Stegostoma tigrinum: one gene and its partner. The protein of the gene in region 2 interacts with the protein of the main gene of each other region in a pairwise test. Links are inferred from orthologs where the notes say so. Each region holds a gene or a part of one and is shown on either strand. Other genes may lie near its edges.

Region 1 (7,667 bases), on a different chromosome or scaffold from region 2:
TAAAGTCACAGAAGAGTGAAGCAAAAACCATCCTGGGTCTGTCTTCATTTAACAAAATAAGATGCTCACAAGTGCTTTGTAACATTCTATAGAGTTTGGCATGGTTATATTCTAAAATGTGACCACAATAGATGAAACATTACCAAGAGTGACCAACACATGACGTAGCTCTGCACCCATGACTGTGCCATTGCCTTCTTTATCAAAGACACGCAGACCCTCAACAAAGTCTTCGAAAGTTCCTGGTTCCTTGTTTCTTGCAATGTCCTGAAGCTTGGGAAGGAACTGCTCAAAGTCCAATGTTTTCACATTCATGTCTGAAAATGGAAAAAGAAGTTTACTTCTGTCTTTGTTCCCCATTACTTTGGGTCACAGACATGCAAACTACCAAGTTGTTGCTGGGCAATCAATTAAGGAGACATGCTGGAATCCTGACAAAAAAAAAGAGCACAAAATGTCTATCCAATTAGATCAGCAAGATACAGAAAAAACCAAACTTTGGAACAAAAACTAAAAAAAGTTAACAAACCTATTCAATATGGATAAAGCACTTATTTTAATTATTTATCTAATTTCTTTGTTGAAAAGGTAATGGAATTGCTTCCAGAACTTTATCATGCAGCACACCACACCATAACTCACTATGCCAAAAAAAAAGTTTCTCTACTCAACTTCGTTTTACTAAAAAAAAATGCATCATATCATTACCAACCAGTGGACACAGAAGATGGGGAAAATCAATTGTCTGAACTCCACACAATTTTGAAAGCCTATTATCTTCAACCTTCTGCTCCAAGGGGGAAATCACCACTAGCTTCTGTGTATGACAGAATTCCCTCATCCTGTGCAAGTCACCTCAAAATCTTCTCATGGCTTAAAACATCCCCACTTTCCTAGCCCTTCCCTGATTACAGCACCTTCTGGTCCTTACCTTCAGGCTTTGGGTTCCCAAGGACTTTTAAGACTTCAGCATTGCATGGATTCTGGCCAAGAGCACGCAAGACGTCACCAAACTGGTTGTAGCCAATTTTACCTTCACCAATGCGGTCATAGAGGTAAAATGCCTCTTTGAATTCTGAAAAGAAAAAAAAAGTGTTACTCAAAGAATATGCAGCTTTAAACAGGCAAACAGAATCAAAAGGAGACAGACAGTCACAAGATTAAATTTTGAGAGATTTAGGACAGAGAAGAAGTTGAGTACACAAACAATCCTGAATACAAGCTTTTCTAGACAGACAATTGGTGGTCATAACAATGATTAGCTGTGGAGAGACAGGATGTCCCTGACTAGTCAAGGGCAGAATCTATTTGTTTAGAGTGTTAAGAAAAATTGAGACACCATCACAATACTGGCTATTCACCTAAAAATTGACCAGCCAACTAATGAGGAAAGACATGGGATAAGATTAGCAACAAAATCGCATGAAAGCAAGTTTTTTTTAAGATCAAGTTACAATCATCCCTACAAATCAATGCACATCTAAGAGAGGCGACAGTTAGGTGTGGTCAGAGAGACCAGGTCACTTAGCTTTGCAAGCTGCCACAATCAAAACGCAGGAGGGAGAAACATGATTCCAGTCCAGGAGATTGGCCTTATTTTGGCCAGGAGCAAGAATTGTCAGAACAGACCTATCTGCTGATCAAGGGAAACTATAAACTGAGGCAAGGCACCTTGAGACAGTCACTACATAGCAAACAAGAATACAGGAACCCCCAAGATGGGAGCTACTGTTGACTGTTCACTGAATTGCAATTCAGTGGAGAGCATGATGAGATAAATATAACTAGAATATTTTTCTCTGCAGTTTAAAAGTAAGTTGCCCACATGAAATAAAATGCTTGGCAAATACGAAGTCCTATTAAACTGCAGTAAGAGTTTCAAGACACTTTTCAGTTCAACTGGAAGCTTTCTGTCTCATGGAAATAATAACGTTGTGAATAGCAAGAACAGATGCTGGAGACAGTCAATACAGTGGAGGAAGCAGGTCAGGCAGCAAAGGGCCAGAAAAGTCGACGTTTCAGGCCGACCGCGCAGTTTCAAGTTTTCCAGCTAACACAAAGCTTGCACGCATTGTGAACGGTGGGGAGCCTTCGAAGCTAAAGGGACTGGTGAATTACGGTGGTGGTAGTGTCCGTACCTCGGGGGTTGGGGTAAGGTTGCTGAAATTAAACGCGATCAAGACTTTCAAAAAGAAATGAAGAACAATTGGAGGCCTGCGAGGGGTACGGGCCGAGCAATGGGACTGAGTTAGCTATGCCGTAACCAATGCACGAATGATTCATGCATTTCATGCTGTGTAAATACTTCAAGCTTTGCTTTTCTCAAGCAGTTATGAAGCGGCGAAGGAATGGATTAGTAAGCAACGCAAATTAATGCGAGGTAATCAAAACTTAGACGTCGTGGTCTGAATTTACAGCCAGGGAGATTGCTAAACCAGTAGACGCACTTGAGGAATGAGGGCTGGAACCAGGCTGTCGACAGCCGCGCTGAGCGAGAGGGATCTTTGTCCTTATTTGGAGTGAGCTTGTACTGTCAGTCTAGGGCGGACGGGGGAAGGAGTGAAAAGGCGCGGTTTCCGGCTTTCGTAGTAAGGAAAGCAAGGCCAGTTTTTTTTTTGGGGGGGGGGGGTCGTGCAAGGCGAGATCAAGGTGCATCTAGGCCTTCGTCAGTGACTTCTTGAGAGTTTTTCCTCCTCCACTGCGGGAGAATTAGCAAACTACTGCCGGTATAGGTTCAGGCTAAAATCCCTTCCCATAGCCAATCAGAAACTGAAGACAGAAACTTACCGGCGATCTGATCCTCGGTGAAATCACACTGCAAAAAGAGGAAGAAAAACAATGTTAGTTGTGGGGTGTGGGAGCCATATCCCACCATCAGCTACTCATTCACTCACCATCCTGTACTCCTACTGTTGCTCCAAGTCCACGTCGCTTGTTCCTTCTGTTTCTCTTTGTGATCTTCACACCGGATATTGACAGATCCTCCTCCAATCAGGGACCGCCCTTGTCGGTTTCTACACCGACCAATGGGCCGGCAGTACTTCTGGAATGACTGGTATTCTTATCCCTTCTCCGTCAAAAGCACAAAATGGCCAATTCCGTTTTTGGAAAAATGAATCTCCTGGAATTTTCAGCAAGTCAGACAGTACGAGAAAAAGAGGAGCCAAAGGTTTCAGGTTGATGGCCTTTCGTCGGAAGTATATCAGAGATGAACAGCCTCTAAATAAGTCATGAGGTAGGGAAAAGAATGGAATGAACAAAAGGCGAGAGGACAAGAGATAAAATGGATTAAATGAAACCAACCGAAGAATCACGAGCTAGCGTAGACCACTCAGCCCCCCGAGCCTGTTCTGCCAGTCAAAAAGATCATAAATGATCTGATTGTAACCTCAAACCCACTTCCCTGTCCACAATCTATCCCCCAACCCGCCCACAACCATCATATTTGACTTAAAAGCAAAGCAAATGGAGCTCATAATTGAAGACAGCTGTAAAACAAAAATTGTATATTGGCCACATGAAGTCACAACAGAATAGCAAACGACAAAAATAAAAATGAAAATGTAATTTTCTGAGCTAATTTTGGATTTCCAGCACCCAAAGTATTTTGTTTTCACAAAAGGCCAACCTGCAAAACAGAGAACACTCCTGTGGCCTGGGAAAATGACCAGGAAAGGCAGGTAGACCTTAAAGATAGAGAATCCCATCCGAAATAAGAACCAAAGTAGGCCATTCGGCCTCTCAAGCCTGCTCCTCCATTCAATAGAATCATGGCTGTTCCAGCATTTCTAACGTCCACTTTCCTGGCCTTTCCTCATAATTCTTGATTCCCCAACCAATCAATAATCTAACTATTTCAGCCTTCAATACACAACAGGTTTCCCCACAACTCTCTGTGGCAAGGAGTTCCAAAGACTCTCAAGCCTCAGAGAAGAAATTCCTCCTCATCTCAGCCTCTGTTTATTCTGAGACTATATCCTCTTGTTCTAGACTCTTCATAACGGGAAACATCCTCTTAACCTTTGCCCTGTCTAGTCCCCTTAAAAATCCCTACATGTTTCAATGGGATCACCTCTCATTCTTCTAAACTCCAGTGAGTAGAGTGCCAGTTTTATTTAACCTTTGTTCATAAGACAATCCCTCCATATTAGGGATCATCCTAGTGAACCTTCTCTGAACTGCCTGCAATGGAATGGTATCTTTCATTGAAAAGGGGACCAAAACTGCTTACAGATGTGGTCTCACCAGCACTTTGCACAGTTGAAGTAAGAGTTCTCTACTCCTATATTCCCCTTGAAATAAGGGACTACATTCCATTTTCCTTCCGGATTACCTATTGCACCTTCCTGTGTACTAGCTTTCTGTGCTTTATGCACAAGTACCCCACAAGGCCCTTTGCGTTGCTCCTTTCTGCAGTTTTTCCCATTTAAATAATACTGTTCTTTTGTTCTGCATTCCAAAATAAATAGCTTCACATTTTGAGATAGTAAGAACTGCATTTGCTGGAGTCAGAGATAACACATTGTGGAGCTGGAGGAACACAGCAGGCCAGGCAGTATCAGAGAAGCAGGAAAGTTGATGTTTCAGGTCAGGGCCTTTCTGAAGACCAGAAACATCAACTTTCCTGCTCCTCTGATGCTGCCTGGCCTGCTGTGTTCCTCCAACTTTACATTTCACACCTTATATTCCATTGCCCACTTACTTAACCTATCAATATCACTCTGCAAACTGTTTGCATCCCTTCACAACTTGCCTTTTCACCTATTTCAGTGTTGTCTTCAAAGTTGGCTACAGTAGATTGGCCTCCTTCCTCCAAATCAGTAATACATAAACAGTTGCAATCCCAGCACAGATCCCTGTGGAACTCCACTGATCATAGTTCACTAACCTGAAAAAGAGTCCGTTAAACCTCACTTGCTGTTTCCTGCCTGTGAGCCAATTCTCATATCCATGCCAATGTACTACCTCCAACATGGTAGAGTCTTATGACTTAACCTTTTTTGAGGTACCTTGTTGAACATCTTCTGGGAGTCCAAATACAACACATCTGCTGGTACTGCTGTATTTACTCTGGTTGAGACTTCCTCGAAAAATTTTCATGGATTAGTCAGGCATGATTTCCCTTTCACGAAGCCGAACTGACTATGCTGAATTAGATTATGAGTTTTGAAATGTTCTATTACTTCCTAAATAATTCATTCCAACATTTTATGAACAACACGTTAGCCCTCACTACTCATACACCAATGGAGCACCCCCACCCTCATACCAGCTATGGTATGACACTGCTCCAGCTATGTACCTAACAGTAGAGGGAAAGATGGACTTGGTGGTGATATCAGGCTTGAGGTAGCTCAATAGGTTCATATGCTACAAGAAAGCACAAAGGTATTACTAAATTCAGAGGAATTCTGACACCCTGGTATAGTACATCAATCTCGAGAAAATAACCTGAAGGTACATCAAGGAAGGCTAACTGAATTTTGGTCTTTATTCAAAAATAATTGAACACAAGAGTAAGGGACGTTTTATGGTAGCTGTACAGGACCACTCCTGGAGTACTGTGTGTGGTCTCCTTATACAAAAATTGATAATAACTGCATTAGAAACACTTCAAGGGACGTTCAGTCGACTCATTTTAGACATTAGAGTGTGAAGTAAGGTTAAATAGGCTGGGCCCCAGTCCACTGGAGTTTAGAAGAATGAGGGGTGATCTTATTGAAACATGTAAGATGCTGAAGGAACTTTACAAGATGCATACCGTGAGAGTGCTTCCTCTTGTGGAGGAAACAAGAAGCAAGGGTCATCATTTAAAGTTAAAGGCCGGAATTTGGATATGAATGTTGTTCAAGTTGACCCTCCCGGGCGGGGCCAGCGGGTGGGCGGGGTCTCCAGGTGGACCGCTCTGTGATCGACTTTCCCGCGCGCTGCCCTCAGTCACGTGCCGCGGTTCCAGACAGTACGAGTTGAGCATAGGCTCGGGATTGGCCTCGGCCTTTCTCTGTCTCGGGCCTGAGAGCAGTAGCGGCGCCCAGAGGCTGATATGGCGGGTGAGTGTATGCTGCGACTCGGCGGAAAAAAAAGCGCGGGCTGATGTCTTGGCGTGGCTGTTGATTCCATGACTGCGGCACTCTCGGATTCTGGGCCGAAACGAATTGGTCGTGGCAGTCCTTTCGTTCGAGACCGTGTCAATGTGTCAACTGGCCCTTGGTAATGGGGACTTGTCCCCCTCTGGTGATCTGTACTTGAATCGTTCACTGTTTAAAGTTAACTTATTTTCCCTTTTGGAATTAAGATTTCAATTTCCGGAGCGAGTTTATACCCCCGCCCCGCCCCGCCGTGTCTTTGCGTGTTCTAAAACCACTGAAGTAGTTTCGAAGCGTCCGCCGGCCAATTCGCAACAAGTCCGATAGTGTAATAATGATCGATAACTTCCAAATCGATTCCTTTGGGAAGGAGGAAATACTGGCGAGAACGCCCCCTCCCCCTTTCAGAAATGCTCAGATTTGGTGGAAGCAAGTGACTCCTGTTATGTGTGCTAGTGTTCCGGATTGAGCACGAGAAATGTTGGACAAGGACAGAGCAGCTTTGCCTTTCAAGCTGTCCCTTTCCTGCGTTGACTGTACATTCACATTCTTCCCTCACCCGCGCTCTTATAAAATAAAAGCGAAAAGATCCCTCAGGAACTGTCACCCTCCACCCCAGCTCCCCAATGGGAAAAGAGAGAGGACTCCTACATAGGGAGCATTGGGGATCTCTATCACCTGGTGGTAAATGGGTATGTCAAGACCCATTTCAGAAATGTCTTTGATGTAGGGGAGAGTGGTAATGGTTTCTGAGCCCGTTTTGTCTGTTTGTTTGGGTTTATTGCTGAGGAATCGGTGGACTGTGTTCGTCGGGTACCCATTCTTTCTGAATACGCTGTATAGGTGTTAAAACAGCAGCTAATGAACTTAAAAGACCCTATACAGACAACAAACAAAACGAACGTCATCTACAAAATACCTTGCAAGAACTGTGACAAACACTACATTGGACAAACTGGCAGAAAGCTAGCCACCAGGATACATGAACATCAACTAGCCACAAAACGACATGACCCACTATCACTCGTATCCTCACATACAGATGAGGAAGGACACCACTTTGATTGGGACAAGACATCCATCCCAGGACAAGCCAAGCAGAGACATGCACGAGAATTCCTAGAAGCATGGCATTCCAACCGGAATTCCATCAACAAACACATTGATTTGGAGCCCATCTACCATCCCCTGAGGAAAAGAACAGGAAATGACATCACCAGCCCAAGGAGACCTAACCAGATAAATAGAAAGCGGGACCTAACACCACCGCTTCGTCGGAGGCTCACTGATGATGTTACCAAGAATGGTGACGAAACGTCTGAAAACTAACCTTCCAGCTCAGCGAGCAAACTCATATCCAGAACCTCAACCTGAGCTACAAATCTTCTCAAAACTCGCTGGTTCTTTGTTGTATTATCAACTTGACATCTGTCATAGGCCACTTTCTCTGCTTCATTGTCTTCTCTATCTCTTTCGTCATCCAGGGAGCTTTGGATTTGTTCACCCTGTTTCCCATTTGCGGCAATGTACGTTGACTCTAACTTGAACCATTTCCTCTTTAAAGACACGCCATTGTTTTGT
Region 2 (7,938 bases):
ATACTAAGTTGCTTTTCTGTTATTGCAAACAAAATCAATAACTTCACACTTAGGTAAAGAGAACACAATAGCAGCTGATATGATGCATGGTATATTACAAAGCCTCTTCCTCTATTCTTACAGTTTCCCATATCTCAAAGTACAGTATCCAGCTGTAGAAACTGACATTTCAAAAGCACCCAACATGAGTTAATATAAATTCTGCACCTCAATATGCACAACAGCAATATATTTAAACAGAGGCTGACATCAGTGCCCCAGCTAAGGTCAAAGTCACAGTCACTGGAAGAAAAACGTTATCACATCACTATCAACAGATTAGTTAGACTGCAATCATTTAGATATTGGCAGGAAGAAGAGGTAATATTTTGTCATCATTCAAAAAAAAAGGTTATTCACTCAAAGGATTATGGCTTGAGATCAAGGACCCCTACAGAAATTCAGCTAGTGGCAAGTACAAATTGCAGTTTGGTTGCAACGTCATTCATGGGCATGAACTTCCAACAGCCATAAATGAATAAGCATTTCAGCAAGACATTTAATAAGTGGTAGTCCAAGTGCTTCCAGTTAGTGTGCTGTTGATCAAAAGCTTAACAGACTTGCTACATAAATACAGCAGCTGTAAGGGCAGGTCCAAGGTTTCTCACAGTCTGTTCACCATCTGTAAGTCAGAGTGTAATGGAATTTTTTTTAAAAAATCATTAACAAGATGAGGGTGTCGTGAGCTAGGCAGCATTTATTGCCAATCCCTAATTGCCCAGAGGGCAGTTCAGAGTCAACTACATTGCTGTGGTAATGGGAACTGCAGATGCTGGAGAATCCAAGATAATGAAATGTGAGGCTGGATGAACACAGCAGGCCCAGCAGCATCTCAGGAGCACAAAAGGTGACGTTTCGGGCCTGGACCCTTCCTCTGATGAAGGGTCTAGGCCCGAAACGTCAGCTTTTGTGCTCCTGAGATGCTGCTGGGCCTGCTGTGTTCATCCAGCCTCACATTTCATTATCTTACATTGCTGTGGGTTTGGAGTCACATGTAGGCCAGGCCAGATCAGGATGGAAGTTTACTGCCCCAAAGGACATTGGTAAATCAGATGGGGTTTTTCCAACAATTGACAACAGGTTCATGGTCATCACTAGATTCTCAATTCCTGATATTTTATTGAATTCAAATTCCACCACCTGTTATGGTGGGATTTGAACTCAGATCCCCAGAATGTTATCTGGGTCTCCGAATTAACAGTCCAGCAAAAGTACCACTAGACTATCACCTCCCCTTGTTCCACTTGCCTGGAATGAACAAAACCTCAATATGAAAGCAGATAGCCATCGTCTGAGATGGCGCGGATTACTTACTTGGTACCCATCAGATGCAAAGGTAGCAATGCATCCTTTGACTAAATCTTCAGAACCACTTCTACCACTTAGGAGAGCCAGGGCAAAGGATCACTTCTACGAGCGAAGTCTCACATCATCCTGACCTCAAGAGTAGGATAATAGGTCAGCACAACATGATGGGCCAAAAGGCCTGAACTGTTGCACAGCTTCTTCACTACCGCTGCATGCAAAGCTGAGAACTCCTATGCAAACAGCACTGTCTCAAGAAGAAAGAGGTTTTACAAACGTTCAAGGCAGTGGCTAAATCTCAAGAAGAAGAAAGGTTACACTCTTGAAAATTCAAATTGATAGTGCTGATTAACCTGCAAATGCCCAACTTTAGTTTATTGTAACAGTTTAATGTCTTCAGCATCAGTGGCTTGATTTGCATATACTCTCTCATTTACTGTTTTACAGTAAACTTAGGTACCCTGTAGACAATTTAATGCCATAATCTAGGAAACCTGAGTACCAAAAACACCACAGAAATAGCTGATATTAACAAAGCCTATCTATTCCACTAGAGCTGTTTGACAAGACTACATCAAGAATACACTTGACCACTTTACACTATAACAAACAAGTCAGCTTCACCGGAACATGTAGATTGGCCTCTAGGCCAGAGGTATTACCTGAATTTGTTTTTTCATATTTTTGTTTTTACTCAAGAATTCTAAATTGGTTGCAAAGTTCATGGATAAATTTGAAACAATCCTCTGAAACACAGCCATTTCACACTCTTTGTGAAAGTAACTTCCACTCATTTCATTGATATCCAATTAAATTTACTGGAGTAAGTCCAATAAACTATTTCCATTCATGAGCTCTCAAGTTACTAGGCTGAAGACACATGGCTAGATACCAACAAGTAATTCACGAGATCAGACAACTACAAAAACCAGTTCATGTCAGACAGACTTAAAATGAACAAAATCTTAATATTAAATCTGTACTTGAACGCTGGAACACCCCAAAAAAAAATGAAACTGCGGGGACCTGAAGCGAACATCCAGGACCAACCTCAACACATTATAACGATACAGATAACAAGGTGTAGAGCTGGACGAACACAGCAGGCCAAGCAGCATCAGAGAGGCAGAAAGAAGGGTCTAGACCCGAAACGTCAGCCTTCCTGCTCCTCTGATGCTTCTTCACCTGCTGTGTTCATCCAGCTCCACACCTTGTTATCTCAGATTCTCCAGCACCTGCAGTTCCTACCATCTCTGATACACTATAACGATAACTACTTCTGAAGGCAAGTCATTACTCAAATCCACACGGTATTCAAGAATTGGATTCCATCTGCAACTTTTTTAAAACTTTAAATATACTATTTTCAAGTTCACATGAAACTAGCTCGACAGAGGTATATACAGAATCCAGTGTATTGGATACTCACAGGTTGATGGTCCTCTCCAGGGTTAGCGGCTTTGCCTGCAGGTACTTATTCCCATATTGAGACACTCCGCGGGGCCAGCCCGCCTGCGAGCGGCTCGGCGGAACCACAGACATAGCAACAAGCTGATGAAAGGTACGGGACCCAGTGCAGCGTCGGGAACGGGTTCTCCCTCTCTCACACACACAAGGATCAACAAGGCCGCCTTCGCGCTTTAACCCGAAACCCACGTTTCCAGGTCAGGGAACACTTCCGGGTCAGGGAAACAACGCTCGGTAGGGGGCAGTATCGCAGTGTTGAGGGGCAGAAGGCTTGTCCTGTTCCTGAGTAAGTGGCAGAGATGTCAGTGCTGACAGAAGCATGTCCGGGAAATCGCTGAAAGGAAAATTTAAAAAAAAGCTGGCGATTACAGGGCCTCAAGCAACATCCGTGGAAATAAAGCAAGCTAATGATTCGAGTCTGGCTGACTCCTCCTCAGAGCTGAAGTGGTGGGGGGTGGTGTGGGGAACAGCGTTTACACAGCAGTTGGGGAGGAGGTTGCAGTGTAAGATAGGTCTCATTTTCGTAGCTTATCATTCGAAATACAGGCTTTTGTTCAGTGAGGGTTTGGCACATTCGGACGAAACTTGCAACCCTTTATTCTGGAATAAGCTGTTTTCGCAGGATCAAAGCACTCCTGGTAGAGACGCTGCATTATTGCAGTGATATCGTGCAGGTTAAATATTAAACCACAGCCTGCCCCAGGCGAAGTTTAAAAAAAACTTTAATGGTTATATCGCAAAGAACATATATAATACATGTTCCAAGAATTTTTTTTAAAAAAACTGTGCTGAATCAAACAAAACTATAAAACTAACAGTGATAATGGGAACTGCAGACGCTGGAGAATCCAAGATAACAAAATGTGAGGCTGGATGAACACAGCAGGCCCAGCAGCATCTCAGGAGCACAAAAGCTGACATTTCGGGCCTAGACCCTTCATCAGAGAGGGGGATGGGGTGAGGGTTCTGGAATAAATAGAGAGGGGGAAGCGGACCCAAGATGGAGAGAAAAGAAAATAGGTGGAGAGGAGAGTATAGGTGGGGAGGTAGGGAGGGGATAGGTCAGTCCAGGGAAGACGGACAGGTCAAGGAGGTGGGATGAGGTTAGTAGGTAGGAGGTGGAGGTGCGGCTTGGGGTGGGAGGAAGGGATGGGTGAGAGGAAGAGCAGGTTAGGGAAGCAGAGACAGGTTGGACTGGTTTTGGGATGCAGTAGGTGGAGGGGAAGAGCTGGACTGGTTGTGTGGTGCAGTGGGGGGAGGGGACGAACTGGGCTGGTTTTGGGATGCGGTGGGGAAAGGGGAGATTTTGAAGCTGGTGAAGTCCACATTGATATCATTGGGCTGCAGGGTTCCATCATGGGCTAACTGCGGTGCCACAATGATGCCACCCGAAGGTTGCAGGAACAGCAACTCATATTCCGCTTGGGAACCTTTGGGACACCCAAACAAGTTGTGAAACTGCAGGGACCTGAGGCAAGCACCCAGGACCAACGTCAACACATTATAATGATAATTATGACTGAAGGCATGTCATTACTCAGATCCACATGGTATTCAACATAGAGTTTCTATCTGCAACAGAAGGGTCAACGGACCCGAAACATTATCTGTGATTTTTCTTCACAAATGCTGCCAGACCTGCTGAACTTTTCCAGCAACTTCTGTTTTTGTTCTTGATTTACAGCATCTGCAGTTCTTTCAATTTTTAACCTGCTGATTTGTCTTCATTACTTGCTGTTGTGGTACCTTGTGTGAAAATTCTGTTTGTCTACGTGGATTGCATTCACTGAATGTGTAAGCTTATAATGTCCCTTAATGGTACTAAAGTGCTAATGTAACTCCTCCATTCCTGTGTTGTCCACTGCAGTGGGAACGATTTTGAATGGAACCATGGTTGCCTAGCAGACAATTGCCAAAAGATTCACATTTAATTACTTATCCATTAGCTCCAGACTGCCTCATGAATGTATCTTGGCCACATTACTCTTTCATCTTCTTTCATTGGATGTACTTCTCAGGTTGCTCGGTGAAATGTTTGATCTATCTCTCCCTGGTTCTTCCAATCAACTATCTTAGTCCTGTCACGTTGTTTGTCTAACAGTCAGCATTTCGAATTGCAATTGCATCCTGTTAAACTTAGGTAGACTGAAGCTATCATATCTTATTGTCTTTCCCAATCTCCATCCCTTAAGCCTGGCCATTGCCTATTTAAACAGACATCATATGTTCTACAGAACCAGTCGAAAGAAGAACTGGAGATTTTTTGCCCATCATAGTTAACATTTAGTATTCAGCAAATGAGAATATTCACCGTTGTATTTGCCTACATGATCAGAGCTACTGACATTCTGAAATTAATTTGTTATTTTTGTAGCATCTGGAATGTCCTTTGAATGTGAAAGGCGCTTTATCTTTTCTTCATATTTAGGTTTCACTTCCAAGAAGGCAGATTATTTGAACAAGTAATACAGATGATTACCATTACTGTGACCGGTCAGTTCATGTTTTGGAGTTGCCGCACACTGCATGATGGATTGTATCCTTTCTGCACAACTTAACTGTGATCTGTTGATTTCTTCATGATTCTTGGCAGATCTTGCAGGATCTTTTGGACGATCTCAAATAACCCCATAATAGGACCATGCACAGATTTCATCTTTCTGTTATAAATAGACCCCTTGAAGTACATATTTCTACTTGTCCAACCAAGGAAAGATATGAGCTGCACCAGCTCATTCATCCTCATTGACTCACACTGTGCTTTGGACTGAAGCTCAGTAATTATGTTCCCCCACTTTGTAATGGGTTCACAGGTTAGTGTTTGAAACATCAGAATGAGTAATGTAGACTAGTGTGCAGCACTAGCTTCAAGATCTCTTTTTTACTCATCGAATAGCTACATAAGCATAAGAAGAATGTAAGTTATCATGCTAGCTGCATGACTGGTACATCTGTGGTAATAAATGATGAGTTGATATTGAGGGTATGTTTTTTCTGCCAAAGAGTGATTAGATAGAGGCTTACAGGAACATTTCGGTCCTAACCCTGAGCTTGATTTAATCTAATTTCACCTTTCTCTCGATGCTGATAGTACAAATAATTTTGAATTTTGATTCTTCAAATGCACCCAAGAACTTTACATTTTAACATTCACTTTTCTTGGACATGCTTCCAACCGTGATTATGTTCTGTTAGAAAAAAAGGCAATTTTGACATTTGGCAGAAGCAATGACAGCAATACTCAAGTGCCCGATTGTTTATTTCATATTTCCTTGTGCACAGGTATTTTTCACCTGATTTATTGGAAGAATTATATGCGGACTTTTTAAATGTAATTATGACACAATTTCATGATGTCAGTTGCAGCTGGAAGTTATGTCCTTTGTTATTGCCCGTGTATGTTTGGAGGAGCTATGAGTTTGCTGTGTGCTTTTAATGAGAGCATTAAATATATAACATATCATAATCAAACACCTTGTCATTATTATAGTTTGCTCATCTACTTTAACAAAGGTAACACTGTAAAGTCTTATCCTGGCATATTTTCTCAGATCATCAAACCTTGTTTACGTCTGCTCCCATGTTTAGTAAACATTGGAGACATTGTAGAACCTTTTTCCAAGCATTCAGCACTGCTTATACAGAGATTCTGTAATGCAGGACTAACCCAAATAATCTAGATTTTGCCAGTGTCCATGAAAATATGCAGCATGGCAGCAACATCTGTGAAAGTAGAGTGTCCTTCCATTTTACCAGCGTACCAATTGTGAACAATCCACTTGTCCATCTCTCTGCTTGCCTCATTCTTTTTTTGCCTATTGTTCTTGCTTAATTTTTCAGTAAATCAATTCCTTCACCTCCTTTCTCTTCTATTTCCTTTCCAGTCTTCCTTTTCTTTCCATGCTCTTACATGGCCTTTCATTGATTAAACAGGGTTTTTTTTATAATTGTAGTTCCTATGTTCTGGGTTGGAGGGAGTTATTTGATTAATGTTTCATGAAAACATCAGTTAGTGGTTGCAACAGTCAAGAAAGAAATTTGAGCCTGGGCCATTGTGATAACAGAGATCTTGGGCCATCGAACAGCCAGGGAATTGGGAAATGATAGACATGGGAAGTGAGTTTCTGAGTAGAAAGGAAGTCTAAAGGTGGGATGGGATTTAGATGAAACTGAGGCTGGGCAAGATAGCTTTTCATCCATTTCCGGATTTACTATTCAAACAAGCTAATCTAGATTGGTGAAAACGGAAAGAAATGTGGAGGCTGTAAATCAGGAACAAAAACGGAAGTTGCAGGAAAAGCGGAAGCAGGTCTGCCAGCATTTGTGAAGAAAAATCACAGTAAGCCACAACAGTTCTGAGGAAGGGTCGCCTGACCCGAAATCCTACTTCTTCTTCACGGATGCGGCCAGACCTGCTGAGCTTTTCCCGCAACTACTGTGTTTGAATCCAGATTGGTGAGCATGTTAGGTGATGGGCAAACAGAACATGATGCAAGCAATCAGCGAAAGTTTGGATTGGTTTAAGTTCGAAGAGGACGGGATAGTTGAGAAGAGAAACTGTAATACTGAAAAACAGAGGACAACAGTATGGATAAGGGTCTCAGCAGCAGACGGCACGAGACCGGGGTGATGCCACCAGCAATGATGATTAAACCTATAATAACTACTTCAGAATATTATGAGCGAATTCTGTAACTCTAAGCTTAGTAAGGAATGCGTCAAAATGTATATTTGTTAATACCGTCCTCCAAAGAGCTGTTATTGATGACTGCAGGCATGACTAACTGACTCGGTAACCATGGAGACTATCTCCATGACAGTGCGATCCGACATCCCCGTCACTTCGGGAGGTTCTCCGTCCGGCGGCGTCGTCTCAGTACGTCACTTCCGGAGGTTGTTTCCGGCTCGCTCTCCCCCCATCCTGTGTGCTGACGTCACCGATATCGTTGGCTCGAGTTAGAACGGGACCGTTTCTGCGTGCCCGAGCGTTAACGGGAATCTCGGTGCCGTCTCAAGCCAGGTCACTGGGGTAACGGCAGCGCAGCCATCAGCTTCGCCATGCCGCTCCTTTTCCTTGAGCGTTTCCCCTGGCCAAGCTTGCGGACCTATACGGCCCTGAGCGCAGCG

What was found. The genes of interacting proteins can lie anywhere in the genome.
Region 1: the proteins of nudt21 (region 2) and myosin light polypeptide 6-like interact in binary tests that used the Homo sapiens proteins (3 or more experiments, as listed by UniProt). The two-hybrid records come from large-scale screens. The link is inferred for Stegostoma tigrinum from reciprocal best matches to the Homo sapiens genes NUDT21 and MYL6.

Annotation. Positions count from the first base shown.
Region 1 is NC_081404.1:1,493,739-1,501,405, forward strand, and holds the start of myosin light polypeptide 6-like, read right to left. Parts: upstream 3,002-7,667; 5' UTR 2,898-3,001; coding exon 2,895-2,897; intron 2,816-2,894; coding exon 2,788-2,815; intron 1,076-2,787; coding exon 932-1,075; intron 318-931; coding exon 144-317; intron 1-143. Other genes in the region: hat1 (histone acetyltransferase type B catalytic subunit), read left to right, coding at 6,044-6,050. UniProt on the Homo sapiens protein: Regulatory light chain of myosin. Does not bind calcium.
Region 2 is NC_081369.1:10,280,779-10,288,716, forward strand, and holds the start of nudt21 (cleavage and polyadenylation specificity factor subunit 5), read right to left. Parts: upstream 3,029-7,938; 5' UTR 2,887-3,028; coding exon 2,774-2,886; intron 1-2,773. Other genes in the region: amfra (autocrine motility factor receptor a), read left to right, coding at 7,870-7,938. UniProt on the Homo sapiens protein: Component of the cleavage factor Im (CFIm) complex that functions as an activator of the pre-mRNA 3'-end cleavage and polyadenylation processing required for the maturation of pre-mRNA into functional mRNAs.